4 linked regions of the Struthio camelus genome follow. The main gene of each other region encodes a partner of the protein of the gene in region 2 in a complex. Links are inferred from orthologs where the notes say so. Each region holds a gene or a part of one and is shown on either strand. Other genes may lie near its edges.

Region 1 (7,653 bases), on a different chromosome or scaffold from region 2:
CTGGTGGGATGTGGGGACATTGGGACGGGGGTCCTGGTGGGATGTGGTGACGTGGGACGTGGTGACGTGGGGATGGAGGTCCTGGTGGGACGTGGGGACGGGGGTCCTGGTGGGACGTGGTGACGTGGGGACGGGGGTCGTGGTGGGACGTGGGGACGGAGGTCCTGGTGGGAGGTGGGGACGGGGGTGCTGGTGGGACGTGGGGACATTGGGACAGGGGTCGTGGTGGGGCATGAGGACATGGGGACGGGGGTGCTGGTGGAACGTGAGGACGTGGGTGCTGGTGGGACATGGTGACATGGGGATGTGCGTCGTGGTGGGACGTGAGGACATGGGGATGTGGATTGTGGTGGGACGTGGGGACGGGGGTGCTGGTGGGACGTGGGGACGGGGGTGCTGGTGGGACGTGGGGACATGGAGATGGAGGTCCTGGTGGGACGTGGGGACGTGGGGATGGGGGTCGTGGTGGGACGTGGGGACATGGAGATGGAGGTCCTGGTGGGACGTGGTGACGTGGTGACGGGGGTCATGGTGGGACATGAGGACGTGGAGACGGAGGTCCTGGTGGGACGTGGGGACGGGGGTCGTGGTGGGACATGAGGACGTGGAGATGGAGGTCCTGGTGGGAGGTGGGGACGGGGGTCATGGTGGGACATGAGGACGTGGAGATGGAGGTCCTGGTGGGAGGTGGGGACGGGGGTCGTGGTGGGACATGAGGACGTGGAGATGGAGGTCCTGGTGGGAGGTGGGGACGTGGAGATGGAGGTCCTGGTGGGATGTGGGGACGTGGTGACGGGGGTCGTGGTGGGACATGAGGACGTGGAGATGAAGGTCCTGGTGGGACGTGGGGACGTGGAGATGGAGGTCCTGGTGGGACGTGGTGACGTGGTGATGGGGGTTGTGGTGGGACATGAGAACATGGAGATGGAGGTCCTGGTGGGAGGTGGTGACGGGGGTCGTGGTGGGACATGAGGACATGGAGATGGAGGTCCTGGTGGGACGTGGGGACGTGGAGATGGAGGTCCTGGTGGGACGTGGTGACGGGGGTCATGGTGGGACATGAGGACGTGGAGACGGAGGTCCTGGTGGGACGGGGGGACGGGGGTCGTGGTGGGACATGAGGACGTGGAGATGGAGGTCCTGGTGGGACGTGGGGACGGGGGTCGTGGTGGGACACGAGGACGTGGAGATGGAGGTCCTGGTGGGACGTGGGGACGGGGGTTGTGGTGGGACGTGGGGGCATGGAGATGAAGGTCCTGGTGGGACATAAGGACATGGGGACGTGGGTCGTGGTGGGACATGGGGACATGGGGACGTGGTGACGGGGGTCGTGGTGGGACATGAGGACGTGGAGATGAAGGTCCTGGTGGGACATGAGAACATGGGGACGTGGGTCGTGGTGGGACATGGGGATGTGGGTCCTGGTGGGACATGGGGACATGGGGACGGGGGTCGTGGTGGGACACGAGGACGTGGAGATGGAGGTCCTGGTGGGACGTGGTGATGTGGTGATGGGGGTTGTGGTGGGACATGAGAACGTGGAGATGGAGGTCCTGGTGGGACGTGGTGACGTGGTGATGGGGGTTGTGGTGGGACGTGAGGACGTGGAGATGGAGGTCCTGGTGGGACGTGGTGACGTGGTGATGGGGGTTGTGGTGGGACATGAGAACGTGGAGATGGAGGTCCTGGTGGGACGTGGTGACATGGGGACGGGGGTCCTGGTGGGACGGGGGGACGGGGGGAGCGCGGGCGTCCGCGGCGTGACGCGCGGCTCCCTGCGCCCGCAGGCCAACTCGCTGGCGTGCCAGGGCAAGTACGCGCCCAGCGGGCCGGCGGGGGCCGCCGCCAGCGAGTCCCTCTTCATCTCCAACCACGCCTACTGAGGGGCCCCGGCGTCCGGGGCCGCCCCGCCCCCCCCCCGCCGCCGCCGCCTCTCCCGCTCCGGCAATAAACGGCATCTGCCTCCGCACCCGCGTCTTGGGGGGCCCGGGCGGCCGGGGGAGGGGACCCAGGTGTCCGGGGAGGGGCCCAGGTGTCCGGGGAGGGGCCCAGGTGTCCGGGAGGGGCCCAGGTGTCCCGGAGGGAACCAAGCGTCTGTAATGGGCCCAGGTGTCCGGGGAGCGGCCCAGGCGTCCTGGAGGGACCCAGGTGTCCAGGAAGGGGCCCAGGCGTCCTGGAGGGACCCAGGTGTCCAGGGAGGGGGCCCAGGAGTCCAGGGAGGGGCCCAGGCATCCGGGGAGGGACCCAGGTGTCCAGGGAGGGGCCCTGGCGTCCGGGAGGGAACCAAGTGTCTGTAATGGGCCCAGCTGTCCGGGGAGGGACCCAGCTGTCCGGGGAGGGACCCAGGCGTCTGAGAGGGGCCCAGGCATCCGGGAAGGGCCCAGGTGTCCTGGAAGGACCCAGGCGTCTGGGGAGGGGGCCCAGGAGTCCAGGGAAGGGCAGAGATGTCCGGAGAGGGGCCCAGGCGTCCCGGAGGGAACCAAGCGTCTGTAATGGGCCCAGGCATCTGGGAGGGACCCAGGTGTCCGGGGGAGGGGCCCAGGCGTCTGGGAGGGGCCCAGGCGTCCTGGAGGGACCCAGGTGTCCAGGAAGGGGCCCAGGCGTCCTGGAGGGACCCAGGCGTCCTGGAGGGACCCAGGAGTCCAGGGAGGGGCCCAGGCATCCGGGGAGGGACCCAGGTGTCCAGGGAGGGGCCCTGGCGTCCCGGAGGGAACCAAGTGTCTGTAATGGGCCCAGGTGTCCGGGGGGACCCAGGTGTCCGGGGAGGGGCCCAGGTGTCCGGGGAGGGGCCCAGGCGTCTGAGAGGGGCCCAGGCGTCCGGGAAGGGCCCAGGTGTCCGGGGGAGGGGGCCCAGGCGTCCGGGGACGGGGGCCCAAGCGTCCGGGAAGGACCAGGGCATCCGGGGAGGGCCCAGGTGTCCGGGAGGGCCCAGGCGTCCGGGGAGGAGGCCCAGGAGTCTGGGAAGGACCAGGGCATCCGGGAAGGGGCCCAGGTGTCCCGGAGGGAAGCAAGCGTCTGTAATGGGCCCAGGTGTCCGGGGAAGGGGCCCAGGTGTCCGGGGAGGGGCCCAGGTGTCCGGGAGGGGCCCAGGTGTCCGGGAGGGAACCAAGCGTCTGTAATGGGCCCAGGTGTCCGGGGAGCGGCCCAGGCGTCCTGGAGGGACCCAGGTGTCCAGGAAGGGGCCCAGGCGTCCTGGAGGGACCCAGGTGTCCAGGGAGGGGGCCCAGGAGTCCAGGGAGGGGCCCAGGCATCCGGGGAGGGACCCAGGCATCCGGGGAGGGGCCCTGGCGTCCCGGAGGGAACCAAGTGTCTGTAATGGGCCCAGGTGTCCGGGGAGGGACCCAGCTGTCCGGGGAGGGGCCCAGGGGTCCGGGGAGGGGCCCAGGCATCCGGGGAGGGACCCAGGCGTCTGAGAGGGGCCCAGGCATCCGGGAAGGGCCCAGGTGTCCTGGAAGGACCCAGGCGTCTGGGGAGGGGGCCCAGGAGTCCGGGGAAGGGCAGAGATGTCCGGAGAGGGGCCCAGGCGTCCCAGAGGGAACCAAGCGTCTGTAATGGGCCCAGGTGTCCGGGGAGGGACCCAGGTGTCCGGGGAGGGGCCCAGGCGTCTGGGGAAGGGCCCAGGGAAGGGCCGAGGTGTCTGGGGAGGGACCTAGGTGTCTGGGAGGGGCCCTGGCATCCGGGAGGGACCCAGGCGGCTGGGAGGGCCCAGGCATCCGGGGAGGGGTCCAGGTGTCTGGGAGGGGCCCAGGCGTCCGGGAGGGGCCCAGGTGTCCGGGCAGGAAGGGGCCCAGGAGTCCAGGAGGGCCCAGGTGTTCGGGAGGGCCTAGGTGTCCAGGAAGGGGCCCAGGCGTCCGGGGAGGGACCGAGGTGTCTGGGGAGGGCCCAGGCATCCGGGGAGGGGCCCAGGCGTCCGGGAAGGACCCAGGTGTCCTGACAAGGACCCAGGAGTCCGGGGAGGGGCCCAGGTGTCCGGGAGGGGCCCAGGCGTCCGGGGGGACCCAGGTGTCCGGGGAGGGACCCAGGCATCTGGGGAGGGACCCAGGAGTTCGGGAGGGGCCCAGGCATCCGGGAGGGGCCCAGGAGTCCAGGGAAGGACCCAGGCATCTGGGAGGGACCCAGGTGTCTGGGAGGGGCCCAGGTGTCCAGGAGGGGCCCAGGCGTCCGGGAGGGGCCCAGGCATCCAGGGAGGGGCCCAGGCATCCAGGGAGGGGCCCAGGAGTCCAGGGAAGGACCCAGGTGTCCGGGAGGGGCCCAGGCATCTGGGAGGGACCCAGGTGTCCGGGAGGGGCCCAGGCATCTGGGAGGGACCCAGGCGTCCGGGGAGGGGCCCAGGCGTCCGGGGAGGGGCCCAGGAGTCCGGGAGGGGCCCAGGAGTCCGGGGAAGGACCCAGGTGTCCGGGAAGGACCCAGGAGTCCGGGAGGGACCCAGGAGTCCGGGGAAGGACCCAGGCGTCCGGGGAGGGGCCCAGGCGTCCGGGGAGGGGCCCAGGCGTCCGGGGAGGGGCCCAGGTGTCCTGGAGGGCCCAGGCGCCCTGGGGAAGGGCCCAGGCGTCCGGGGAGCCCCCGGCGAGCTCTCCCCGCCCACTGGCTCGCGCCCCGTGACGTCACGCCCTGCGGGGCGGCCCTCCCGCACGTCACTTCCGTCCCGCCGGTGGGCGGGGCCGGGGCCGGAAGTGACGCGCGGCGGCGGCGGCGGCCGGGTGCGACCCGCGGCGGGTTCGGGGGTCGCCGGGGGGGTTCGGGGGGGGCCGGTTGGGGGCCGGTTGGTTTTTGGGGGCGGCTGGGGGGTTCTAGGGGCGGTGTGGGGGGGTTGGGGGGGTAGTTGGGGTGTTGCGGGGGCGGTTTGGGGGGGGTTGGGGGCAGGTTGGGGGGTTTTGGGGGTGTTTTGGGGGTGTTTGGGGGCAGTTTGGGGGTTTTGGGGGTGTTTGGGGGCAGTTGGGGGGTAGTTGGGGTGTTGCGGGGGCGGTTTGGGGGGTTTTGGGTACAGGTGGAGGGGGTTGGGGGCGGTTTGGGGGTGTTTGGGGGCAGGTTGGGGGGTTTCGGGGGTGTTTGGGGGCAGTTGGGGGTTTGGGGGCAGTTTGGGGGGTAGTTGGGGGTAGTTGGGGTGTTGGGGCAGTTTGAGGGGGTTGGGGGCGGTTTCGGGGTGTTTGGGGACAGGTTGGGTGTTTTGGGGCAGTTCGGGGGTAGTTGGGGTGTTGGGGCGGTTAGGGGGGTTGTTTGGGGGCAGGTTGGGGGGTTTCGGGGGTGTTTGGGGGCAGTTTGGGGGTAGTTGGGGTGTTGCGGGGGCGGTTTGGGGGGTTTTGGGTACAGGTGGAGGGGGTTGGGGGCGGTTTGGGGGTGTTTGGGGGCAGGTTGGGGGGTTTTGGGGGTGTTTGGGGGCAGTTGGGGGGTTTTGGGGGTGTTTGGGTGCAGTTGGGGGTTTGGGGGCAGTTTGGGGGGCAGCTGGGGGTAGTTGGGGTGTTGTGGGGGCAGTTTGAGGGGGTTGGGGGTGGTTTCGGGGTGTTTGGGGACAGGTTGGGTGTTTTGGGGCAGTTCGGGGGTAGTTGGGGTGTTGGGGCGGTTTGGGGGGTTGTTTGGGGGCAGGTTGGGGGGTTTTGGGGGTCTTTGGGGGTAGTTGGGGTATTGGGGCAGTTTGAGGGGTTTTGGGGACAGTTTGAGGGGGTTGGGGGTGTTTGGGGGCAGGTTGGGGGTTTTGGGGGGCAGTTGGGGGTAGTTGGGGTGTTGTGGGGGTAGTTTGAGGGGGTTGGGAGCGGTTTGGGGACAGTTTGGAGGTTTTGGGGGTCTTTGGGGGCAGTTTGGGGGTAGTTGGGGTGTTGTGGGGGCAGTTTGAGGGGGTTAGGAGCAGTTTGGGGGTGTTTGGGGACAGGTTGGGGGTTTGGGGGTCTTTTGGGACAGTTTGGGGGCAGTTTGGGTTTTGGGGACAGTTTGAGGGGTTTGGGGGCAGGTTTGGGGTAGTTGGGGTGTTGTGGGGGCAGTTTGGGGGGTTTGGGGACAGTTTGGGGGGTGTTTGGGGGTGGTTTTGGGGGTCTTTGGGGGCAGTTGGGGTTTTGGGGCAGTTTGGGGGAGTTTGGGACATTTTGGAGGGTCTTTGGGGGCAGTTTGGGGGGCAGTTTGGGGGTAGATGGGGTGTTGGGACGGTTTGGGGGGGTTGGGGGTGGTTTTGGGGGTGTTGGAGGGTCTTTGGGGGTAGTTTGGAGGGTTTGGGGGCAGTTTGGGGGTAGTTGGGGTGTTGTGGGGGCAGTTTGGGGGCTTTGGTGACAGTTTGAGGGGGTGGGAGCAGTTTGGGGGGTGTTTGGGGGCGGTTTTGGGGGTCTTTGGAGGCGGTTGAGGTTTTGGGGCAGTTTGGGGGTTTTGGGACAGTTTGGGGGGGTTTGGAGGCTGTTGGCGTAGGTGACAGTTTGGGGGCAGTTTGGGGACAGCTGGGGGGATATTTGGGGGCAGTTTGAGGGATTTTGGGGGCCACTTGCGGTTTGGGGGCAGTTTGGGGCAGTTTGAGGGGTTTCGGGGGGCGGTTTGAGGGGTTTGGGGAGACTTGAAGGGATTCAGGGGCTGTTGGGGGAGTTTGGGGGAGCCGGAGGGATTTCGGGGGCAGTTGGGAGGGTTTTGGCTCCGTTGGCGAGGGGGGTGGGCAGGTTTGGGGGGGACGTTTTGGATTTGGGGGGCAATTGAGGGGATTTAGGGGACAGTTGGGGGGAGTTGGGGGGGCAATGGGGGCCCGTTGGGATGTTTTGCAGAGCGCTGGCGCGATTTGGGGTCAGGCTGGGGGTTTTTTTTGGGAGCGGTGGGGGGGGGTCACTTTGGGGGTCTTTAGGGGCACTTGGGGATTTTTGGGTCACTTTGGGGGTCGTCGGGGGGTCGGGGGGGCCGTTGGGGCCTTGGGGGGGGCATTTGGGGGTCGTCGGGGGGTTGGGGGGGCCGTTGGGGCCTTGGGGGGGCATTTGGGGGTCGTCGGGGGGTTGGGGGGGCCGTTGGGGCCTGGGGGGGCATTTGGGGGGTGCAAGCGGAGTTGGGGGGGTCTGGGGGCAATTGAAGGCAACGGAGGGGCAGTTCAGGGGGGGCTGGGGGGGGCTTTTGGGGGGGTGGAGGGCAACTGAGGGGTCCGGGGAGCGATTAGGGGCTCGGGGGGGGTAATTAGGGGCTGTTGGGGGCACTTGGGGGTGTCGGGGGCAGTTAGGGGCTTGAGGGGGGGCTGTTAGGGGCATTTGGGGGGCAATTGGGGGTGCTGGGGGGCAGTTAGGGCATTGGGGGGGCTATTGAGCAGGTAGGGAGTCGGGGGGCAATTAGGGGTGGGGGGCAACGAGGAGGGGGGCTGTGGTGTCCGGGGGGGGCAATTAGGGGTTGTGGGGGGGGTTAATTAGCCCTGATGGGGGGGGCAATTACCGTCCCCCCCCCAAGTGGCCATTTCACGTCACCTGGGATTGACGAGCCAGCACCGATGGGGGGGGGACGAGCCTAGCTGCCGTTGGGGAAAAGGGGGCAAAATTAAGTCATGGGGGTAATTAGGGGGGGCTAATTAACAGTTAATTAGGGGGGCAGGGCCATGGGGGAGCCGAGCGACCTGGACCGGCAGATCGAGCAGCTGCGGCGCTGCGAGCTCATCAAGGAGAGCGAGGTGAAGGCCCTCTGCGCCAAGGCCAGGTACCCCGGGGGGGG
Region 2 (7,959 bases):
ATTTGTGTAATTACTCCTGACTTAACCATCCAGTTTTTCAAACTGAAACCTGAAATTCATAAAAATACTAATAAATGTCACTGCAAACTATTATTTTGGATTGTCTTGGAACTAGAGGATGAAATCTATGTCTTACTGTTCTGGATTTCTTTTAAGTAAAAGGTTTTTTTACATGAAAGGAAATAAAGAACGTTTAGCTCAGTGTGAATCAACACGCATCTGACAAGTTTGTGTACTCAGGTACACTTTTAAAATATCAGTGTTACAGTAGTCTAGCCTGTATTCTAAAAACATACATTAAATTCTTATAAATACATATTCCCTGTTATGAATGCCCACCAGGACATTTTGCTATCAATTTCCTCCTGATATTTTTATATATAACATATTAATGAAAATATCACTATATCAGATGAAGAAATATAGACTCTGATGGATAACGGGAAGCAAATAAAGTGGTACTGAGCAGTATTTCCATGTCTGTCTCCAGATGATATTGGATACTTCGGATGTCTGAAGTGTGTCTGACACTTTTAAAAAAACAATTTAGTGCAACTGCAAGGTCCAAGAATGTTGAAAAAAGCTATAGAGCTTTAAAAAAAAAAAAAAAAAACCCTGAATACATACAAGGCCAGGGCCTGCATGAAGTTCCAGATGATAGATTTGAGTTCCGGATTAAGCAATAGTTTGCAATAATCAAATAAACTCTTGTTCTTGTTTACATTTGGAAAATCTAGATTTTTTTTTTTTTAAATTCAGAACATATAATAACTATACTCTCAAGTTTTACCTCAGGAAGAATTTTCTTAAGAAATCACCCCTATACAATTGCTTTTAAAAATTGCTTTGGAATATATGTAACAGTGGCATAAACAAGAAAAAAAAGCCTTAAGAAACATTTCAGAACAGGAAGAATATTTTAAACACACTACACAAACAAAACCACTACCTTAGGCCCATACTAAAATGAGTGTTATTCTAGAATATTAAGCATTACAGCTGTATATTTTTCTGCTGAGCCAAAGCCTTCCATTCAAAGGGCAAAGTACATTTCAGAACTTGTTTTTCTTTCAAAACTATTAATTTAAATAGTACTAGCAAGCTATTAAAAAAAAAAAAGAAAAAGGTAAAGACACCTCTTACGAGTGAGAGGGATTCTAGAAATCAGAACAAAGCCCCTGCAAATCACTAGTTGCTAATAAAGCACCGGTAAAAGCATGTATCGCTAAAGCCTGTGTAGTCTGGCGCTAGGCCTCAAAAACAAGGAGACAGCCTGAGTGCCAGAAAGTGAGCCACCTGCAGCATGGCACCCATGGAAGCCTTTCCCCTTCCTGCCAAATAGTGCTCAAGCAGGAAGTCACCCCCAGCAGCACCGGCCTCATCCTTGACAAGGAGCGCGGTAACCCCGCTCCCCACAGCGCCCGCGGGCCCAAATCCCACTGGCCCTCCACAAAAGGAAGCCCAGGAAAAGTGAAACAGAAGCACTTTGGGGCCAGCTGAAAAAACACGAGAGACCACTGAAAGGCAGGGTAACAAGTTTGCCCCTGCGCCTCTCTGCAGAGAGCTCCTGGGTGGTTCTCCCCTCCTCCTGGAAAGCATCTAGACGCAATCATCGCACAGCAAGTTACACAAAGCCTGGAAAATTTGATCTGAACCATTCGTATCCCTGTGTAAACAATACTACTGCGTACAACGGACATTGCAACAACGCGCTAAACTTTCAGTTTAAAAAACCTGAATGTCACGTAAAACGCAGAAAAAGCAACAGGTTTACTGTATGGAGCAGCATCAATAAAACCTGAGAGATAAGCCTGAGCAAAGTCTATACAAAAAAAAAAAGCTATCTGTGCTCTCTGTTAGAAAAAAACTAATTCTATCCTCAAATGAAACTAATCATTCAAAGTTACACTGAGAACTACAGCAAGCTTATTTAGCTCATGGAATCATTCTACAGATCCAAAAAAAAAAAAAAAAAAAAGGTATCATCTCATTCACTTAAAACGTGGGAAACTTTATAAGCTACAACTGAAGATCAACCAAGAAGTCACACACTTACATGGTCTCTCCGGTCTTAGCAACATGACAAAGAAACTGATCCAGTATTGGACACACTTCCTTCTTTCCTCTCTTCTCAAAATCTGTTGGTACGAGGAAGAACACGAAAGCAATAGGAAAAGAAGAGAGGACAGGACAAAAATTCGTAACAATTAGGCATCGATTTGCTTCAACTATCCGCACAGCTCCCCCCTTCCCCCCACCCCCCCAAAAAAAGACATTTCCACACTTCCTCAGTTTGTTCCCAAGAGCTCCCCCAGCCCTCCAACCCTGCAAAACACTTGATACTTCTCGTGTGAAGAAAACTACACACATCCCAGGGGCAAAAAGTTGATTTGTAACTTCTTTTGAGCAGCTACCGGGGGGGGGGAGGGTGGAGAGAGAGAGAAAGAGAGAGCGAGAGAGGCCGATTTCCTCAGGCTGCGTCCAGCCAGACGAGCTGCCACAGGACCGGGCCGGGGGGGGAGTCCGTGCGCCTGGCCGAGGGAAGCGGCAGCGCAGGCCGGCCCCGACCCCGGCCCCGGCCCGGGGGCAGCGGCGAGGACGGCCCGGGGCCGGAGCGGAGGGACCGGCGGCCGCCACCCCCCCCCAACCCCCCCGGTGGCTGTCGGGGCGCTGGGGCCAGGCCTCGGCTTCCCCCTCCCCCACCGCCCCCACAGAGACCCCCCCCCGCGCCCGCCTCAGCGTGAGGGGACACAGCTCCCCCCCCCCCCCCGCCACCGCCGCTTTCCCCCGCCCGGCGCCACCTTTCAGAGCCTCCTGCAGCCGCTCGACGTCCATGATCCGCCCGGGCGTCCCCCCGCGCCCCCCCCCTCCCCAGCCCGCGCAGCACACGGGCTCCGGCCGCCGCGCACACACAGACACACACACAGACAGACAGACAGACGCGGGGCTCAGCAACCCTCCAACATGGCGCCCGGGCCGTCCCCGTGCGCGGCCCCGACGGCCCTCCCCCTCTCCCGCCGGGGGGGCGGGGCGGGGCGGCGGTGGCGCGCGGGGGGCGGGGCCGCCGCCGCGCGCGGGGCGGGGCGGGGCGGAGTGGAGGGGCGGCGGTTGCGGCCGCCTCAGGCGGGGCGGGGGTGGCCCTGCCGCGCTGCTGTCCTGCTCGAGGCGGCTCCCGCCCTCCCGCCTCTGCCCACGCACAGCCGCGACACGAGAGGCGCCTCCTAACCAGGCGGCTCCTCCCCGCCCCCAGTACTGACCGCGTAGGACGCTCCCTTCTTCTCACCACACCTAAAAACGTGGTGGAGAAGTCGGGGCAGTCGGTCCCTTCTGGAGAAGGTCTCTAAAAACACAGTGGTGAAGGCCAGGCACTCAGTCCCTTCTGGAGAAGGTCCCTAAAAACGTGGTGAAGCCCAGGCACTCGGTCCCTTCTGGAAAAGGTCCCTAAAAAAGTGGTGGTGAAGGCCAGGCAGTCACTCCCTTCTGGAAAAGGTCCCTAAAAACGCGGTGGTGAAGGCCAGGCAGTCGCTCCCTTCTGGAGATGGTCCCTAAAAACGCGGTGGTGAAGGCCAGGCAGTCGCTCCCTTCTGGAGATGGTCCCTAAAAACACGGTGGTGAAGCCCGAGCAGTCAGTCCCTTCTGGAAAAGGTCCCTAAAAACGTGGTGGTGAAGGCCAGGCAGTCGCTCCCTTCTGGAGATGGTCCCTAAAAACACGGTGGTGAAGGCCGGACACTCAGTCCCTTCTGGAAAAGGTCCCTAAAAACGTGGTGGTGAAGGCCAGGCACTCAGTCCCTTCTGGAAAAGGTCCCTAAAAACGTGGTGGTGAAGGCCAGGCACTCAGTCCCTTCTGGAAAAGGTCCCTAAAAACGTGGTGGTGAAGGCCAGGCACTCGGTCCCTTCTGGAAAAGGTCCCTAAAAATGTGGTGGTGAAGGCCAGACAGTCGGTCCCTTGTGGAGAAGGTCCCTAAAAACACGGTGGTGAAGGCCGAGCAGTCAGTCCCTTCTGGAGAAGGTCCCTAAAAACGTGGTGAAGCCCAGGCACTTGGTCCCTTCTGGAAAAGGTCCCTAAAAACGTGGTGGTGAAGGCCAGGCAGTCGCTCCTTCTGGAAAAGGCTCCGAATGAGCAAGGAGGGGATCGGGGCAGAGTCCAGGCTGAAGCGGCGGTGGCCGGGGTCCGGGCGAGGGGGAGACGCCTGTCGGCTGGTTTTAGCCAGCCATTGGCATATGGACTCGCCTGCTGTGGACACTTCTGCAAAAAAAAATGGAAATGCTTGTTAAAAAAAAAAAAGAGAGAGAGAGAGATGTTGTGAAAAAGGTAGCCAAATATCGATGCCAACTGTTACTCTAGGCATGTGTGAGCCGGCGCATCTGCTGTAATTTACTATTAGGTACAATCCTGATATAGACCTGGAGGGTGGCCCAGGCGCCTCTGGAGGCCTCATGCGCATGCTGACGGCCCTCCTGCCCCGCGCACGGCGAAGCAGGTCCCGTCCCCACCACTCTTGGCCTGCCCTGTGAGTCCCGGATCTATCGTACCGTTTCAGAGCAGTCCCTAAAAAGATAATAATGCCTGTGGCTGAACTGACTTTTCTGCTCTCCCAGGTCGATAACGTACCAGAGAACCTCTGATACAGCTCCGTTTCTTACAACTGCTGCTAACATCATAGCTGAATGATCAGGTTTGAGGACCACCATAAATGGCTAAAAGACAACCTTGGTACCTATGGCAAGCACATCCTTGCTGAAAGATATTTTCTCTGGTTCCTTGTGTTGATTGTATCATGTAGGAATATCCAGGCTGTGGAATTAACAGTCTGTGTTGGCATTTTCATCATATAGGAACCCTAACTTTCATCTGGCTTCTGGAATCAAGACCTGTATGGTCTAGACCTTCTAGATGACCCTCAGGGTCTCTGACCTTAGAACTATACAATACTAACAGGAATATCTAAGGTTTCATATTTACAGATGAGCAGTACAAATCCCTTGTTCTATACTGTTCTGTGAAAAACCTTCCTTAACAACAAATCTTTGTAAAAGCTGCAATAGGGCACAGAAATGCTGAGTAGAGAGGGCAGTGAATGAACCTCTGTGGTCCCCTCTCCCTTCATCTGATCAAAAGGTGAAGGGAAAAAGGGAAGCAGCAGTCGACCAAGCCAACCACATGGGACGGGCCCTGCTGTTTAAGGTACCTGTCAGGGCCAAACATGCACCATGCCTTGCTCTCATCTCCTAATAAAAGAGGAAGAGTGGCACTTAAGACTGTTGAGACAATTTGTTATAGGATGCCATTTTAAGAGATTAAACTGTTGCAGATCAGGTCCAATACAAAATAAGGGAGGTAGAAACTGAGCTCAAGGTGACTGAAGCTTGTGCTATGCTATGACAGGGAGTTTAGGGAAAGTGTCTCTCATAAACTTCAAAAATAGTTTAGAGCAGATAGAGGTACTTCAGATTTAATACTTTGGGGCTCTCTCTGACTAAGTATGAATAGCTGAAAGTTGTTGAAAGTCTAGCTCCAAGTGCTGCTACTTCTAAATGCTTTACAAAGGCATCGTCTATTTTGTGCCATGGATCAATTCTCAGCTTTTTATAAAGGAAAATCACATTCCCTACTGGACATGAAAAATCCCAACAATACTTAGGACTTGGCACTTTTACCTTCTTGTACATTTCTCTTGCGTTAGGGATTCCCTTGCCTCGGGCCAGCATCACTAGCCCTATTAAGCACACAAAGAACCACAGAGACAAAGACAGGACTTGCCCCAACCCGTGGGGGAAAAAAAAATCAGCGCATGAGGTGGAATTAATAAAACCTTAATGAATTTAGCTACCATTTTCTTCTGATCACTTTGTTCATCATAAAAACATGCTGAAAGAATGAGTAACAGCAGAGCTAAGGCATATATTCTTAAGAGAAATGAATACTGAATTGTTTTCTCTGAAGTTAGCCAAGGGCACTGTTAACAATTTGTATTAGTAGCTCTCCTGCCCTTGCAGCTCTGCTACCATGACTTTCCCCATCTCATGCCCTCTGTAGTATGTTTACCCTTCTAGGATTAGAAATCTCTACAAACCGAAACTAAATTAGTTTGCTTGGACAATAATCTACTCTCTACGGTATTAATGTCCTCCCCCAAAACATCAGTGGGTACTCATGGCAAGCAAGTGAAAAAATCTCTTCAACAAGAAAGGAACTGCATTGAGAAAAGACTTGACAGAGGACAGGGGAAGGTTTCAAAGCAAACAGTGGATATGGAAATGAAAACAGAAGTGCTGAGGCCTGTAAGCAGATGCACTGGCAATAGAAAAGGAACATACAATTCAGATTACAGGTTAGCCTATGTTCTTTTCCTTGGGATCCACTTTATTATTACAAAAGAGGTATAAAAGTCCAGTTAAAGTAACAAAAAACTAGCTTACCTTTTTAACCTTCAGCAAAACAGAACAGTGGAGAACATAGGGCACAGGTTCTCTTAAATCATGTCTATATCCTAGCAGACTACATTTACCCCCAGATACCATATCGGCTCTCATCCACAGCACAGCTTGTTCTTTATAATAATTCTCAAAGGTGGTCACATGCCCTCAATTTTCAGCTCTTCCTGAGGAACTGCATTTCCCAGCATGACTGCTGTTAAAGAATCCCAACAGCCAAAACAAGCCTAGAAGAGGCATAAACATACATTTTAAAGTCTAGTACAGTTAGACAACCCACTTAAAAACCCCTATGAGAGCAAATTCAATCTTCCTAAACAACATCCCATTCCATTTGGAGGTATCACCAAGAACACAATAAAGACCATAATTACCGTCAATTTGAAAAGCTGTGCTGCTAGCCTGTTCTGCTAAAACAGAAAAAAAATTAAAAGCGTTCCCAAGACACCTAGAATTAATATTGAAAACTGGGACAACATAGCATTTCTTCAGTTAAAAAGCTAGTTGCAGGGAATAAAAAGGAATATGTTTTTTTCTAAATTCCTCTACTACATTCTGTACAGAAATATAGAACTAATTCAACAGCTTGTAATAGAACATAACACACTCATATAACCTTTTAATTAAGTACTTTAGAGCCACTTCTTTGCACTCAGAAAGTAGCAAGTGAGGTTTGAGTCTACAGCTGTATCATGTGGTAGGTACGCTTGGAGCCCTATTACCTTTTGTACCTTTGTTATTTGCAAGTTATAAATCTAATTGGCACTGCTCTGTAACACGGATGCTGCTCTGAGGATAGGTAATGCCATTAGGAGCCACAGATGCTCAGATCTTGTTTCTAGAAACAAGGTGTAAGTTAATATCATAATTTCTGCAGGATTTAGCTGGTAGAGGAAGACCACCTCTCATTTCCTTCCAATCCTTTTATTTCCTAGTTTGAGAAAAGTGGACTTACATCTTTTGAAGTGTAGCACTTATCACATTTGTAGTATATTAAATAAATTACTACAGTGATACACTGGGAATGGCATTGCAGGAAGATCTTTATTTCAAAATGCGGTAGAATTCACAAGTAAACAAACCATATACTAACATTGACTTTTCATTGTTAGCAGCTTGTCTGATTCCTTCCATTTGGTCAGAATAGATGACAAACCTATCCTAAATCTAAATCTATTTTTACCAAGTAAAAATGACAGCATTTTATATTTTACACAGGTTTGTAAGGGGTGCATAAAGAAAACTGAACAATGCTGTTAAGTGTGCCATTTTAACCTGTAATTCTGTTCAGTAAGCTTAATTGGATCACTGCCCTTTGCGGGATCATCCCTGCTTGCTTATTGTTAGCCAGACAAAACCAAAGTTTTTGGAAGACAGACAAAACATTATGTGCTGGTTACAAATATCTTAGCGCTGGAAGAAAGTTTGAATTAAAATGACAAAATGTAGACATTTTACGAGATTGGGTCCTCTTCAGAATCATAAAAAAAAGGCAGACAACTGTATGTTCTGAAGATATTAGCA
Region 3 (7,864 bases), on a different chromosome or scaffold from region 2:
TGTAGTTTGCAGATGAGATGTTTTTATTGTTGCTGCTTGATACCCAGTCAATTAAAAAACACAAAGATTTACTGAAAATCTATGCCAGCCAGTCTATCTCATCTCAGTCTTTTCTTATAATTCATACTATCTTACATTTACATAATTTCTAAGTTATACCACTTGGACTACAGGTATGCCCACGCTTCCTTTTCCTTGCTTGTCCTTACTATAGCTTAGCACATCTAATAGCAAGACCACAGCTGGCAGAACTGCACACGCATAAAAGCTGCCTGCACTTCCAGTGTCCTCACAAGTACATTCTACTACTTCCGGAATACGTCTCAAAACCAGTTTCTAACTCCAATGCTGAAAACAGTAGCTTTCAAACGTACAACAGAGAGGTACTGTAGGCTGGGGTTTCAGGCCTGGGAAAGCCAGGCAAAAATTGCAGCGTTTGTCGTTTTTTTTGAAACTGCCTATTTCACATGTGCAAACATGAAATGTAATCCTAAATAATGCATCAACTGGGAAAGCTTTCATAAATTGCATAAGACCTGTTGTACATAGATACAAAGCATGACTATTTCAAAGAAGTGTAAGAAATAACGCTATCGACTACATACATACAGTCTCTTCAGTCTGTGTTATTTTTCTTTAGCTCATGTCCACCTCTCGAAAACAAAATCACATAAAATTCAAAACTGTAGAAGACATCAGGTGTGACCAAATTATGTCCAGACAGCACATGCTGTTTCATGCAGATTCCTGCTTTCTCTAAAAATAATACACTTAAGTAATGAGCTATTCACTTTTATCTACTTCCATCAGAACCTCACTAATTTTTTATGAGGCTTCAAATTTTTAGATTTCTATGGCTGCTGCCTTCAAAATGCTCTCATCTGAACTGAGTCATATCTCCATGCATATATAATTTCTTCCTTTTTAAAGGCAAGACTGCAACATTCAAGCCACCTCCAGGAACCCAAGGATTACAAATCATCTCTCTAAAGACTATAATCATTTCTTACTTCAACTACTGTCTTACAGTCAAGAAAAAAAAAAATCACAGTCTAAGTGGAAATTAAAAAAAGACATACATTCTTAAAAGTGTGACACTTTTCTAAAAGTCCTCACCTAATCACAAAGTTTTCAAACAGCTACACTACCAATCTGATTTTCAAGCAATCAGAACTGGGTGGCGAGGGGGAGGAGAGTCTTACAAAAAGGCTCTCTCTTTGTGCAAGGCAATACACAACATAAAAAGAAATAGAACAAATTTTAATCAGTTCACAAAACAGAAGACAACTAAGATGTTTCCAGTTAACTTCTGGAAAGTGTAAATAACATTCCCAGAAGCATTTAAGCCAAGAAAGCTTTTACTGCTGCAATCTAGTCCTTGTGAAGGCTGCACAGTAGACAAAGTACCTTCAGACAGTGACAAGGGTCTGCAAACCTACAGCAGACCGCATAGCCGAAGCCTATGCTATGAATCACCTCAAGAAGAGCTGACGCCTCCATTTTCACTTTCTATATAAAATTCATCTGGCTTCCAAGTTCTTTTAACACTGACACTACCCATATACGTCCTTCTCACCTGCATTCACGTTGCACAGCCCTCACTTTCAACCTTCATACCTCTGAACTAGCACTTTGAACGGGAATCATGTACTGCAACTTGCCCCCCCCCCCGACGTAACACTTTCCCAAACATCGATTCTCCTTCTCCCCATCAGTTGCAAGAAGAAGGGGGCTGAGTGGGGGGGGGGGACACCAAAACAAAACAAACTCCACAGGCCTCAGGCTCGAGAGCACCCACCCGGCTCATTCCTCCTGAGAAGCTCCCCACGCAATTCAGGAGCGATGACCGCCCCCTCCCCACCCGCTCCCCCCCTTCCCCGCCTTAACGGCTGCCGCGCGAGGGACGCGGCCCTCGCGCGACGACCGTTAACGGCAGCTCCCCGGCGCGCCCGCCCAACGCAGCGCGTTTCCCTGCGGCCGCGTTAGCCCGCTTACAGCAGCCCCTCACTCCAGCCTGCCCCGCTCCGCAAGCCCCCACCGCCGCCGCCGCCAGGAAAAGCCCTGCTCAGCCCGGCCTTGCCCCCCGCACGCCCGGCTGGATTTTATGTACATAAGGAAGCGCGGAGCATGGCCTCCTCCTCCTCCTCCCACAATGCACCGTGGGCATTCACATTTGAAGCTACTTCCTCAACCGCAAAAAAGCCCCCGGCCCGTGGCCGCCCCAGCGCCCCCCGGCCCCACTCACAGCCGTCTATCTCCTCCTGCAGGTCCTCCTGGAGCAGCGACAGATCTGCGGGAGACACACAATGTGCCAACGCGCCCCGGCGCATTTCACCGCCGCCGCCCCCCGCGTGTCCCCACGCCCCCACTCACCCACCCACCCACGGGGCCCCGCCGCCCGCACGCGCCGGGGCCGCGCTTTGCACCCGCGCAGCCCGCCCGCCGCGCCCCCCCCTCCACCAGGGGAGGGGACCCCCACGCACGCACCTTACCGGCGCGCCCACGCGCGAGCCCGCCCCGCGGACCCCCTCCCCCGCCCCACCTTCGCATGCCAACCCCACCCCGGCGGCTCCCCACGCACGGACGGAGACACGGGGAGGGGGCGCCGCTGCGGGAAGCGCTTCCTAAACCGGGGCGGGGGAGAAGGAGGAGGGGAGAGGAGGGGGGAGGAGGGCTCTGGTGCCTCGCTAGGGAGGCGGCGTGTGTGGAAAGGGGGAGGATGGAAGGGGGGGGTGCTACCTACCCGCCATTTTGCTGTAGCCCCCACGGGGTGCCGGGCTACATTGAACCCGCTGCGGAGCGGCGAAGCGGGGCGGCGGCGGCGGGGGGGGGGGGCAGGCCCGGCGCGGCGGCGGCGGCGGCGGCGGCGGCGGCAGCGGCGGCGGCAGCGTCTCCCAGTGTCCCCGAGAGAGCGGCGCAAGGAGCGGGCGGGCGCAGGAAGGCGGGAGGAGGGGTCTGGGCTGGACACGCTGCCCCCGCCTCCGCCCGGCGGAGCCGCGCTCGCACCCGGCCTCGCCTCGCCTCGCCTCGCCTCCCCGCCCCTCGCACTGACTCACGCCCGGAGCCGCCCAGCCCTGCCCGCGGGCGCCGCGGCCGGGGCACAGCGGGGGGCCACCGCCTCCCGGCCGCCCCGCTCACCTGGCCGCGCCGCTGGCCCCAGCCCCGCCGCTGGCGGACCCCCCCCCCCCAGCCGCCCGCTCTGCCGGGGCCTGAGCCCGCTTGGCACTGACGCCGCTTCCCCTTGGCCCGGCCGGCTCCTTCCTAGCGTCTTCCCCCTCCCCTCCCACCCCCCGCCGCCTCTCAAAAGGCTCCGGCTCCCCCGCTCCGCACCGCCTGGCGTTGGTGCTGCCCCGGCTGCTGGCGGTGAAGCCAGGCGGCCCTGCCCTCGCCCGAGGGGTCCCCACTTCGGGCTTCGTGGGGTCACCCCGGCGAGAAGGGTCGCTGCGAAGCGGGCAGGCCGCAAAAGTCTGCGCCTTTGGGCTTTGTGGGGTCACCTGCCAGGTGTCCCGGCCACGAAAGTCCTCCCGCGAGCTTTTTAGTGCCACCCTGCAGAGAAGGGTCCCCACGAGGCGGCCGGGTCACAAAAGTCCCGGCTTTGGGGCTTTGTGAGGTCACCCTGCAGAGAACCGTCACCGCAAAGCGGCCGGGCCACCACCCGGACACCTCGGCCGGCTTAGCCAGCCGGCAACCTCCTGCCTGGCGCGTAACTCGCGTGGAGGCACCTCTACAGTTCGGCTGGTGAACCGGCCCTCCGAAACCGGGGGTGTTTTTGTCATTAATTGTACTTATTTTGATAGATTTTTCCACTGTAAATTGGAAGATTATAGAAGCTGGATAAAACAAATGCTCTAATTTGCAGCTACCCGTAGCACTTGCTAAAGAAAAGGACCGTTACCGAAACTGATGCTAACTGGGAGTCTTGAGTGTTCCACCATCTTTTTGTTATCTCTGTAATCATCTTTGGTGTTGTTAAGATATAGAATAGCAAAACAAGTTTTTTTTTGTCCATTTTATTCAGAAGGGATGCAATTTTAGTAGATCAATTTTTAACTCAACAGGGTTGACGTCATGTCTTGTAAGTAGTTTTTTAATACCGAACCATTGTTTTCATTTTATTTTGTGAATCACTTAAGGATTTAATCCCTATAGTAATTCCTTCTTTTTGCCATAGTGGCTGAAAATGTATAATCTTTCTTGAAACTGCACACATCCTTTTCCTTCCATTCCTGTAAGAACAAACTGCTTTCTTTCACAGCTGTTCAAACCTTAGAGAAATCACTAGGGCCCACTGGATGCAGATTATCCAGCATTTCTTTCATTCAAATATATAACCTTAAAAACTGAGTAAATCAAGTAAATTCACCATGACTACATGATATGGACCATGCTATTCTCTACCAGTGTAATTTAAGAGAAGACTCGGTAGAAATATTTGACATCACAAATAGCTGGCGATGCTGGATATGATAGCAATAGGCCTAGAACACAAAAATAAAGCATACTCAAAGAACAACTTTTTATTAGCTCCATTACTGTACATTACTTCCAGGAAGGTTTCTTTCTTCTCCACGTTACAGTCTTCACCATAATCAAGGCCTGGTTTTCTTCTTCTGAAGTCAGTAGCAATTGCCTAAAATGTATGCACTTGCTGTTCTTGAAGGAACCAAGGTTTTCCGTTCCTTTTTCCTACTCGTTACAAACAGGTAGTAATGCATACTAAATATAGATTACTATGGTCTGAGAGCATCAAAACTACCTTGACCATTTATGTAATAGAACAGGGTAAAATGATGAATGCAAGAGAGCATACTTGACATAATTTAACACCAATTTTGGGGTCTTCCTATGTGAATGGGGTATTCCTAAGTGGTGGTTAGTTCTTTGTTTGTAGGTGGGAATATGGATAGGGTCAGGGTGATTTACAAGACAAATTATAACTGCTCAGGAATTGCTTTTTTGTTTCTCCTACAAGTGAACTAGTAGACTGTTTTCCTCAGATGAAACTGGTCCTAGTACCATTGTTAGTAGTCAGCAGGAAAGGTCTCTTCCTATGCAAATAAAAATACTGAGGCAAAAACTTTGGCTCATACCGTGACACATACGTGGAGAAAAATCCCTTTTTTGGCTTCATGCCACCACACAAAACCAAATCCCACATAATGAATAAGTAACTAGATAGCCCTACTTCTAAACTTCCTGGCTTAAGGAGACCATAAATTCTATACCTTGATCTCCCCAGACACTATTTAAGGGCCTAACCTAAAGTTCAGGTTAATTGTCAGATTCCTACTGGTCACAAACAAGGCAAATAGAAACCTTCTAAGTATATTCTAAGAATACGCACTGATTCTCTCAGATAGTGTGATGAGCCGACTTTCATAAAATAATGTATCTAATTCTGAAAGAAAAATTTCATAAGAAACTTCTCATTTTATTAGCTGAAGCGTGTTAAGGATACTTTTGCACCTACCAAAATATTCTAGCCCATTTTGTGCTGGTGTTCTAATAATCTGTTTGACTACCCTTAAAGGCATTGGAAAATAAGAAATTTAAGGCATAGATAAACTCAAGTTTGAACGCTATATCCCAAGAAAAATACGCTCAAAGGATGGACGCCAAGGCTATGAATGAGAAGATACAAATGGAAGACACTGTGGCAAGAGTCTTCACGTGTGATAGAAGACATCTTTATTGCTATATATACGTGACTTATCTCAGAAAAGCCCATAGCAATTAACAAGATCCTTATAGTATTTATATAAAGTACTTCATAAATCTTTTCAAAACTACAAAAATGACCAAGTTAAACACAAGATACCTCATATCCACCTGAGTGTATTTGCAAAAAGTTATTCTGAAGTTGGGTTACTGACATTTCTTCAGTCAAAACTGCTGCAGGCATAAAGGCCTCAGGCTCGAGAACACTGCAGGCCCAAGAACTCACACGTGAAAATATCTTATTTGCTCTCCTTTGCTGTGAAGAAGTAAGTCTCCTTGTTTGATCAGAAAACAATGCCAGGCTTTCAATGACCGCAAGTTAACCCGCTTTGCGTTTCTCCCAGGCTTCCCTTCCTGTGTGGGAAGTCCTTCCCATAAATATCTGCAAAGCCATCTTGCTACCTTCCTTCAGATTCCTCCTCAAAAACTCTCTTTTCCTGTAAAGCCTACAAAAAACTTTTTTCAGGGTTAGACTTCTGGTGCACTGAGACAACTGCTCATCCTCTTGAGTAATACTGACTCATAGTTTTCTTGCCCTCCCCCGGGATTCTGTCTGCATACATCTGTTGTCTCTTGCTTTACGGTAAAACAATGAGTTGTCTACTTTATAGACCATCTTTTTGTTCTTTTTGTAGTGTCTAGCTCAAACTGGCCCATGACTGAAGCTCACAAGCATTAGACTATATATACCCACATAAACAAATGAGTACCTATAATACAAATGGACATATGTAAAAACCTGGAGGCTGAAGCCTGAAACATGTTAATTTTGCATTTGAAAATACATCATCTATTGGAGCATTTATGCTAAAAAGGGCTGTACATTGTAAAGCCTTCTCTTCCCTTCCCTTTCCTATTACCTGTTGTGCTTTTCTCTCCCCCAGTAAAAAATACCTGAGTTCTTTTTTTTTTTTTGACTCATCACTCGTGGATGACAAATTTTTTGATTGTGCACCACAGTTTTATTTAATTTCCCCATTTTCCTGAGTAAGAGCCTGAGCTGGTGATTATTTGTGAATATCAGAATGCAGCTGTCACTGCTCCAAGTGCAGGCCTCGCAGAAAGATTGTAAACAATATACATATTAGTAATTTTGCTGACTGCACGTGAATAGTTGTACCTGTTCAGGACTCTGCTGAGATACAGGATTTGATGGATCTAGGAGGCTTTTTGGTATGACAGCCATGAATGAATTAGTCTAAATTTGCTGACAAAGAACTTTGCTAACGTAAAGTTAAGTTTGCCTCGTGGGTATCTCATGTCATTGCAGGAAGTCAAGTTCAGTGATAATTAAACTTCTGAAAACTAGCACGTACAAAACTGAGGCACCTACTAATGCAACCTTAAGGCTGCACTGGGAGCTTGCAATGGCTACTGGCATTTATTTGTAGGCAAACCTATTGCATCAGTGGCATGAGATGGTAGCGGAGTTGTGTGTGGTCAAAAGAAAGAGAGGCGTGTTTATTACGAGGGAGCCCACAAGCCTCCTTTTGCTGCAGACACCATCAGTGGTAAATCCCCAGCTCCTTTGGCTGAGGGCACTGCTTGAGTGGGTCCTGTGAGGTATATGGTGGGCAACTTGAAAGTCTGCCTCTATATCTGATCTTGTAGGTGCGCAAGTGAAAGAGGACAAAGAATTAATGTACATGAAGTTGTTTCAGGGATCTGTGTCTCAGCGTTTGGGTGCAGCATACTCAACGGAAATGCACACACGCACACACACAGGGAATGCTCTTGCAGTACCACTCACCTGAACGCAGGTTTTCCTTTAACAGAGCTGTGCTACAGCCGTCAGCTGCTCTGTGTCAGGAATGATGTGTGTGGTCCTGCGTACGTATTGCATGGGAAGACTGAATCACTGCTCAAACAGGACAGAATTCAGGGTGGGCTGATGTGCCGTAGCTCTGGATTTCCTGGTTCTCGGAAGTCTATGTCCCACTGACATACTGGAAGAAAACGTGACAGGGCGACCACAAACTGAGAACCTTTTCCATGCTGAAATGCCTCTTGCAGATTTTGTTTTTAAATAGAGAGAAAAAGAAACAATGTCTGAACTTCGACTATTTCAAGAAATTACAGCCACCACATAGGTATGCACCTGGAACATTATTGTAGCTAGTCACTGGTATCCTCCCCTTTCATCCTC
Region 4 (7,531 bases), on a different chromosome or scaffold from region 2:
GCTATGTTTTTGATAAATGAAGTGGTTGACCATGATTTTTCTAGTTAGGAGAAAAACAAGAGCTATGGAATACAACAAATTTCATAGTATCTAAAACATAAGTCTGGCATCACCTTTTTTCAAATCATTTGCCTGCATTTATAAGTGACTGCATCTGCCTTCAAAATTAGCTTACAAACCAATTACCAGGGTAAACAAAATATAAATCAAATTTTAGGAGGTGTTTGCGCAAGCAAGCTAGAAAAACTAAGCCTATTAATAGACTGCACATTTGACCAGGACTGATCCTACCTACTAAATTAAGAACTTTAGCTCTGTATATTATTCAATACTGTTAAAGTATATGCTGTTTGAGAAAAGTCCAATGTGTGTATTAAATAACTGCAGCTAATGCACAGAAGCATAAGTTTGAACAACTCCTTCTTTAACTATTTTAGTGTCTGAACTGTGTAGCACTGAAAGTAATGACTCCACATTTCCTCTGAGATCACTCACACCAGTTTATATTTTCCTTTTTACAGAAGTTCATTTACAATAAGTAAGCTGGCAACAGCAGTTGAACTCAGGTACAAATCAGTTTTAAACATACATATCCCACCTAAAGTTGCTAAAATGGTATTTTAGTTTGAATGGACAATTACTTGAAATCAAGTTACCAACTGCAGTACTTTTGCTTTCTTCTGTTAAGAAAAGGAAAAAAAAATCAGAAACTTTAATCATTAGAGTATAAAAACAGGACATGACAGTATTTAAACATTAGCTAAGAGAGTCTCCTGAGTACAGCAGCCATGTAGACAGCAAGGACTATATCTACAGTAAAATATACTGGAACACAGGATTAGTTTAAAAGTTGAGTGATGACCTTCCTTCTCTTTTAACCTCCCTCACTCATGTCGAAACTAAACTAAGTCTACTTCCATTTTGAATGTTTTGTCATACACTAGGAAGCTGGTCAAACCAAAATAAAGACCATAGCTTCTTTAGTAAAAGAAAACTAAAAAACAAGTCTTGAAGACAAACAAGTCTTAAAGACATCTTGTCTTAAACACAAGACTTTAAAGAATAATTAATAAACTACAAAAATCTGAGATTCATGCTTATCAGAAACTTAATGATCAAAATCCTGCTCAGATGCAAATTTGACTCCTCCATATCTGCGTATTATCTCTTTATTGTAGAGACTGCTGTACAGTTTGTCAGAACTTTCTCAGACATGAGATGATTCTGGAGCTGCCTCTCATCCAAGTTTCTATAATGAAAAGGCCAGATAAAATAACAATAATAAAAATAAAACGCCTATTGCCAGGCACAAGTCACAACTAGATCTTTAAGTCACTAGATAGAGTGGCTATATATTTAATGAAAAAGTCAGTCACGCATTGACAGACTTTACTAGCAAAATAGTACACACGAGGTATTGCAAGATACGCTGTTTAAAATCTGTTCGGACCGCAGCAGTCAGGAAATCACTCATCCAATAACCAAGACTAGTCCAAACATGTAGCTACAGGGGTAAATATTACTACCACTTAAACTGTAGTAGGTTTTGCCAAAAATCGTGAAGGATTATGCATCATCTTAAGTTTATTTACAGGCAGATCTAAAACTGCTGAAGGATTGAAAAATACTATTTCAAGAAAAAAAATAAAGCATCTCTGAAAATGCTATTCTGTCCATTGTGTTGTCTTTACTACTACAACTGCACATTGATAATTATTGTTAGCTGCTAGTGCCCTGTAAAATCTTACTACCAAAGAAAACAGGGTGAAAAAAGAAAGAAAAATAAAGGATGTTAGCCATCTAATCATCCAATGACTTTTTTTTTTTTAAATCCCTCCAAAAGTATGGTCTAAGTTTTAAGCAACTCCCTTCATGAGGGGGTTGCTTCCAGAAACATCCAAGGAAGCATTCACAATGATCAGTTTTGGGTCTGGAGTAGACTAGGTATCATCAGATACCCAATCTTGCACAAGACTTGCAATTAGACTTCATTGTATTTGGCATGCAGTACTGTATTCACTACGAACCAAGTGCCTACTACAATGTTTGCACTTGATGGCAATCGTCCATTCCTTTCACTTGGCCTAACAAGAATGAACTATGGCTGATGCCTACTTGCTTTCAGGAATTACATTCGAATTATGCAGCAAAACGTTAAGGCAAGAGACATACATATAAAGCCAACTCCTACTCCTTTTTGGAGTAGGACGAGGAAAGGCTCTAACAGCTTCACATATACACACTTACCATCACTCTCTGCCCTGACTAGCAGGGACATGCCCTTCAGCCTCTCCACGTAGCAAGAGGACACATGCCCTGTGCCTCGATCGTCCCACTGGCGGTCTTCATTTAGCGTGTACACCTTCACCCTCCGCCGGGTGTCAGTCATCCTGCCGCCTGCCACACCACTGCCACCACCCTGGCTTGCAAGACCTGAAGAAGCGGGAGGTTGGCGGGGGGCTCGGCCCCCCTCAAAGGAGGGGAGCGGGAAGGAGGGTAGCAGCCCCACACGGGCACGCCAGGAGAGCTCTTCTTAGTCCTCTTCAGTGCTCCAACACGATCTTCATTATCGGCAGTAACAGAGGATTGGGGGGGGGGGGGCAGGAAGGGGGGCCGAGGCGGTGAAAGGCGAGCTGTTCCAGGGACAGTTAGGTGCTGCACAAGAGGCGACCAAGCCTAAGCTGGGGAGAGCCGCGGAGAGGCTCCTTGCGGGGCGAAGGGCAGGCAGAAGCGGCGGCCAGGAAGGGGTCCCGGAGGAGAAGCGGCTCCACAGGGCTGGAGGGGCCAGCCGAAGGCACGGGCGGCGGCGGCCGGCCGACCGACCGGCCCGGGCTGACAGGAGCGGGCGACCCGGCAGGCCGGGGCCCTGGCGACGGGCTCGGCGCGGCCGGCAGGAGCAAGCAGGCGGCGGGAGGCAGGCGGGAGCGGGGCCGCTCGCCCCGGCCCGAGCGCGGCTCTATTGTGCGGCAGCTGCCCAGGCCCGAAGCCCCTGGCTCGCCGTCCGTCAGCGCGGGGCTCCCAGGAACCGCCCTCCTTCCCCGGCGGGGCTCGCGTGGGGCCGGCGGGCACCGCCTGTCCCGCGGCGGGGCGGAGCGCGCGGCCGGGCTCAGCGCCCCGTCTCCCCCATGGGCTCCCGTCGCGGGCGGCGGATCACTCCCAGCCCGACTCCGCCGCCATATTCTTCTTCCTCCTCCTCCTCCTCCTCCTCCTGCCGGTGCTGCGGCGGCGGCGGCTCACTCGCGGCTCCTCAGCGCGCCCTGCGGCGTGGCCGCACTCCAGGCACTCAGCGGCGCAGCCGGCAGGCGGGAGCTCTGCCCAGCCGAAGGGGCGAGCGGCGGCGGCGTGGCGCGGCCCGTCCAGCCCGGCTCCCACCGCCTCTGTCTCCGCCTCAGTCACTGCGCGGCCGCCATCTTGGTTTCACCTCTCACTGGAGGCGCGGGGTCTCCCAGCCAGCGGCGGCACGGGCCGCCCGCCAGCGCTTAAAGGGCCAGCCGCCCCGCTGCGGCCGGGGTCCGGCGCCGGCCCCGCGCTTCCTTCCGCGCCCACGCGTGGCCGCAGCGCCCACGCCTCGCCGCCTGGCACCGCGCAGCCCCCGTCACGCAGCACGCTGCCTCTGCCGTCCCTGCCGGGCAGCACACACGTGGCCCCGCGCGGCCGTGGGCGCCGTGAGGCCGGGCGGGGGTGCCGCCAGGGGGAGCAGACCGTGGGGTTGTCGCGGCTGTTTTGTTGCGCGCGTCTGGAGCCGTCCTCTTGCCAAAGAGTGGTTTCATGGGGCGGGGGGGGGAATCGGATCTTTTTTTGGTTGTTTTTTTTCCCCCCGTCGCCCCCTGCTGAGTGATCCAAAAGTTAAACGGCTTCTGGTCGAGCGGCTCTTGGGTCTGCGCGACCTCTAACAATTGCAGTAACAAGCCGAAGCTGTTGAGCCTCTGCTTTTGCCGCTGCTGCCAACATCTGAACATATGTTTGACAGATTCCCCTTTTAAGGATGGATCAATATTAAATAACAAAAAAAAAAACCACAGGCAAAAACCACTAGTGCCTTTTGGAGCCCACAGACATATCGCCACGCAAGCGAGTCCATTTCAGAACATGGTCTGGACATGCTACGTACATGGGAGCTCACTGCAATTTATATACTTAGATTGGCTTATTTTTCAAAGTATTCCATATTTGTTTATGAAAGTGAGTTATGTTGGGGCTGATATAATTACTGGCTTGGAAGGACTTGGTTTTCTGAGAACCGTAGGTTATGGGCCCTGTTGAAGGGAGGCCCTCCAGCAGCACGGGCACAAAAAGGCGCTCAGCGCCCCCGTCTTGGTGACCGAGGAAGCCCCCGGGTGGCCATACCTGGGGAGGTGCTGCTCACGCGTTTATCTTGGGCAATTCTGGAGATGGATTTTTGTGACTTCAAAACAGGCCAACGTCACCTACAGAAACCTCTGTGGGACAGCTGCACTCATTTACAAATTGTACCCTCTGGTGGCCGTGGGATTAACAATAGACTATTCTTTTGGTTTTTTATTTTTTTTGGTGAATTCAAAAAAAGCTCAATCAGATTTTAGTTGGCATAGAAAGTTAGCTTTGTGCACATTTGGGGTTCAGCTTTTCTTAATTTTCTTTGTATTATCTTAATATCAATCTGAACAATGCTCAGTCCTACAGTATGCCCGCTGTCAGGTTTTATCTCAATTCTCATTGTATTTGGTGGGGGATGTCATTTTTTTCGAAACTTTCCACCGCAGTGATGCCAGAAGAAAGGCTGGGCATTGACGGCATCCTCCCATGATGGAAAGCAGATGCCAAAGAAGAAAACACTCAGTTTATTTTTCTCAGAGTCATGATTTAGAAGACAAAATTTGCCACGTGACATCTCAATTCCTTCTCCATTTCCAGAGGTATGAAGTATTGTGTGTCCCAAAGGAAATATCTTCAGGGATTCTCCTGATATTGAGAGGTCATCCTTAACTGAACCAAAAGCTTAGGCTCACTTAGTTCCTGTAAATAACCCAGCACCTTGTCCTGGCAGTAGTTTTGGCCCACCTGGAACTGAGTAATAAATAAGGAAATGGAGTATTGAACACAGTTTTAAACCTTTCATATCCTTAGATATATAAATGCATATGGATCAATATACTAATGAATAAAGCCTAGAAGGGGTTTACTACTGAGGGCCTCCTGCACAGCAGTCAGAACTAAGGAAGATGACTTTTTTCCTTCAATATCTGCTCACAGCTTTGGGAAAGAAAATTACATTGTTAGGAGGAACTCCATTGCAGACATATATCTTGAAGGTATGCACTAAAGCATGATTAGAGCTCCTAAAAACATAGCTAATGATTTTCTGACAAAAAAAAATCATATTAGAGAAATTAACAACTTCAGACTTTATTATGATAAAGATGAAAAAATTATTAAAATCAAAGTCTCTGCTTGCCTGAGTTTGATATGGTTACATTCTGTATGTGAAAACAAGGTTAAAATCCATACTAAATAGAGCACAGAGAACTGGCTGTCTAGAGGGCTTATATCCAAAAAACTGTGGAAAATGAGTGACTGAGAAGAAACATTATATAGAAAAATTGTAGCAAAGTAGGGGGTGTCTGTCCAGAAGAAATTAAGCGGGACATAACTCAGACAGCAAATTCAGAAAAATACATTTCTAGTTCAATGGGGAGGTGAACACAACAGTTAGAAATAAACATAAACAACAAGTAGAAAAATGACAATTCTAGCAATCTGCGCAATAAAGCTAGAAAGCATAGAAAAATGGATGAGGACATCAGAATATGTATGGCTGGTAGTTTTAGGAACAGCTCAAGTTTTCCAAATCTTAACGGTATCCCAGGCCTATGATATCACAACTAAAAAATTTTTGATATTGATACAAAAAGTAGAACTGTTTAACATTTTTTTCTATACTTGGAAAGAATTTTGATGTATTTATATCATATGAAGATGACTAAGTGCCTCCCTGTTCATTACTAAGAAGCACACTAAATAACTTATCTTAGAGATAAACATTTGAAAATATGCAAGTCCTAAAAAATTGGAATTTGGGAGTCCTAAAGAAGTTTGCATATGTGAGGTATGAAAACATGCTAATTTTTTAAGAAGCTGCAAGTATTGCAGAAATTCTGCAAGACATGACACTTTGTAAGAATTCAAATAGGACATGTTGGAACAGATAGATAATAATGGACTGATTTATCTGACAACAATCACAGACCAACAATAAATACCGATACACAGTATCGGTAAGAATTATAAGATTAGAACATAGCGATAGCAGCTGATGTGGCTTTATGGAAAAAAGACTTTCAAAATTGTTTAATCTCTTGTTAGATTACAAAGTTGCTTGTAAGAGTAATGGTGCAGATATAATATACTTGGATAGTTCTCAGGTATTTTTCTGGAAAGTCGGCATTGTATGCTATCAAGAAAGCCCACGCCACATGGGTCAGATGCTGAGAGACAGGCATAGCTCAGAACCATTATTCAGTGGAGGTGACTCCAGATAATCGTGCAGAAATCAAGAGTGGGACTGATGCTGTTTAGGATTTGTAGTAATAATTAGAAAGTTAATATAAAATCTCTGAATGAAAATTGTGTATGGCAGAGAGAGACTGGAAGAGTTATAAATATTGCTGAGGACAGAGTGGTCAGGAACAGCTTGGTTCACTTACTGAAAGCCCTGACTGACGAGAAGGGATGGCTTAGCCTGGGACAGCTGCGAAGGTTACTGGCAGCTGCTTCTGGCCTATTCTGGCTGTACAAATGTCTGTGAGCTCACGAAGCACCTCCCAAATTGTGACAGCGTTTTTAAGGCAAACAGTGACGCTTTTCCTTAAACTTTGAGCTGTAAACTGGGTTGATTGAGGAGCTGATGGATAAGCAGCTCTGACATCCAGAGAAGAAGGCAGGGTGGGCAGCTGGGGATGTCCTGGTCGTGCTCTAACTTAGACCTCTTGAGTGGGACCATTGAGATATAGCACAATACAAGACAACACCTATAAAAGTTAAAGCACCTCTGGAAGAGGCTGGGCTGCATAGCGAACAAGCAATTCAATACTAACTTCTTACATGAGTCTAAAAGGGCTAATACCTTTTGGGTGCATTGTAAGCCAGCAAGCTGTGGAAGAATTCAACATCAGGACTATAGCTTTAATGCAATGTTTTTATAACTCTGGTGTCATTGTTTAAAGATTTTGAGAAACTGAAATGGGGCAGAAAGGATTCCCCTTAATGACTGTATATTTTGCAGATCGAGGGTTGGCTCACTTCAGCATCTCAAATTCCTGCTGTATGCACAGTTTTGCACACATACCCTATGAATCATGTCTCAGATGCTGTTGCTCAGTTTTCACATCCTGCCACAGATCCCCCTAGAAACAGTAGCCCTGTTTTTATACCTGAACCACAAACCTGAACTTGTGTCAGCAGTTAAAGTTCTGTGACTCTTCCTCCTACGTAGTGTGCGTATGAATCCCTTCAACAGAAAGGTCATCTATTTTCTTTCAACCCATACTGTTAT

Evidence for each region.
Region 1: PPP4R2 (region 2) and PPP4C share a complex: the UniProt entries of both Homo sapiens proteins name them as parts of the PP4 complex. The link is inferred for Struthio camelus from reciprocal best matches to the Homo sapiens genes PPP4R2 and PPP4C.
Region 3: PPP4R2 (region 2) and PPP4R1 share a complex: the UniProt entries of both Homo sapiens proteins name them as parts of the PP4 complex. The link is inferred for Struthio camelus from reciprocal best matches to the Homo sapiens genes PPP4R2 and PPP4R1.
Region 4: PPP4R2 (region 2) and PPP4R3A share a complex: the UniProt entries of both Homo sapiens proteins name them as parts of the PP4 complex. The link is inferred for Struthio camelus from reciprocal best matches to the Homo sapiens genes PPP4R2 and PPP4R3A.

Annotation. Positions count from the first base shown.
Region 1 is NC_090973.1:990,412-998,064, forward strand, and holds the start of PPP4C (serine/threonine-protein phosphatase 4 catalytic subunit), read left to right. Parts: upstream 1-4,647; 5' UTR 4,648-4,700; intron 4,701-7,528; exon of another isoform or gene 7,529-7,536; 5' UTR 7,537-7,540; coding exon 7,541-7,638; intron 7,639-7,653. Other genes in the region: ALDOA (fructose-bisphosphate aldolase A), read left to right, coding at 1,788-1,883. UniProt on the Homo sapiens protein: Protein phosphatase that is involved in many processes such as microtubule organization at centrosomes, maturation of spliceosomal snRNPs, apoptosis, DNA repair, tumor necrosis factor (TNF)-alpha signaling, activation of c-Jun N-terminal kinase MAPK8, regulation of histone acetylation, DNA damage checkpoint signaling, NF-kappa-B activation and cell migration.
Region 2 is NC_090955.1:5,358,772-5,366,730, forward strand, and holds the start of PPP4R2 (serine/threonine-protein phosphatase 4 regulatory subunit 2), read right to left. Parts: upstream 3,002-7,959; 5' UTR 2,836-3,001; coding exon 2,802-2,835; intron 2,139-2,801; coding exon 2,057-2,138; intron 1-2,056. UniProt on the Homo sapiens protein: Regulatory subunit of serine/threonine-protein phosphatase 4 (PP4). May regulate the activity of PPP4C at centrosomal microtubule organizing centers.
Region 3 is NC_090943.1:116,180,153-116,188,016, reverse strand, and holds the start of PPP4R1 (serine/threonine-protein phosphatase 4 regulatory subunit 1), read right to left. Parts: upstream 3,003-7,864; 5' UTR 2,751-3,002; coding exon 2,744-2,750; intron 2,643-2,743; exon of another isoform or gene 2,551-2,642; coding exon of another isoform or gene 2,543-2,550; intron 2,291-2,542; coding exon 2,246-2,290; intron 2,173-2,245; exon of another isoform or gene 2,130-2,172; coding exon of another isoform or gene 2,111-2,129; exon of another isoform or gene 1,996-2,110; intron 1-1,995. UniProt on the Homo sapiens protein: Regulatory subunit of serine/threonine-protein phosphatase 4. May play a role in regulation of cell division in renal glomeruli. The PPP4C-PPP4R1 PP4 complex may play a role in dephosphorylation and regulation of HDAC3.
Region 4 is NC_090946.1:65,507,884-65,515,414, forward strand, and holds the start of PPP4R3A (serine/threonine-protein phosphatase 4 regulatory subunit 3A), read right to left. Parts: upstream 3,012-7,531; 5' UTR 2,390-3,011; coding exon 2,248-2,389; intron 1-2,247. UniProt on the Homo sapiens protein: Regulatory subunit of serine/threonine-protein phosphatase 4. May regulate the activity of PPP4C at centrosomal microtubule organizing centers.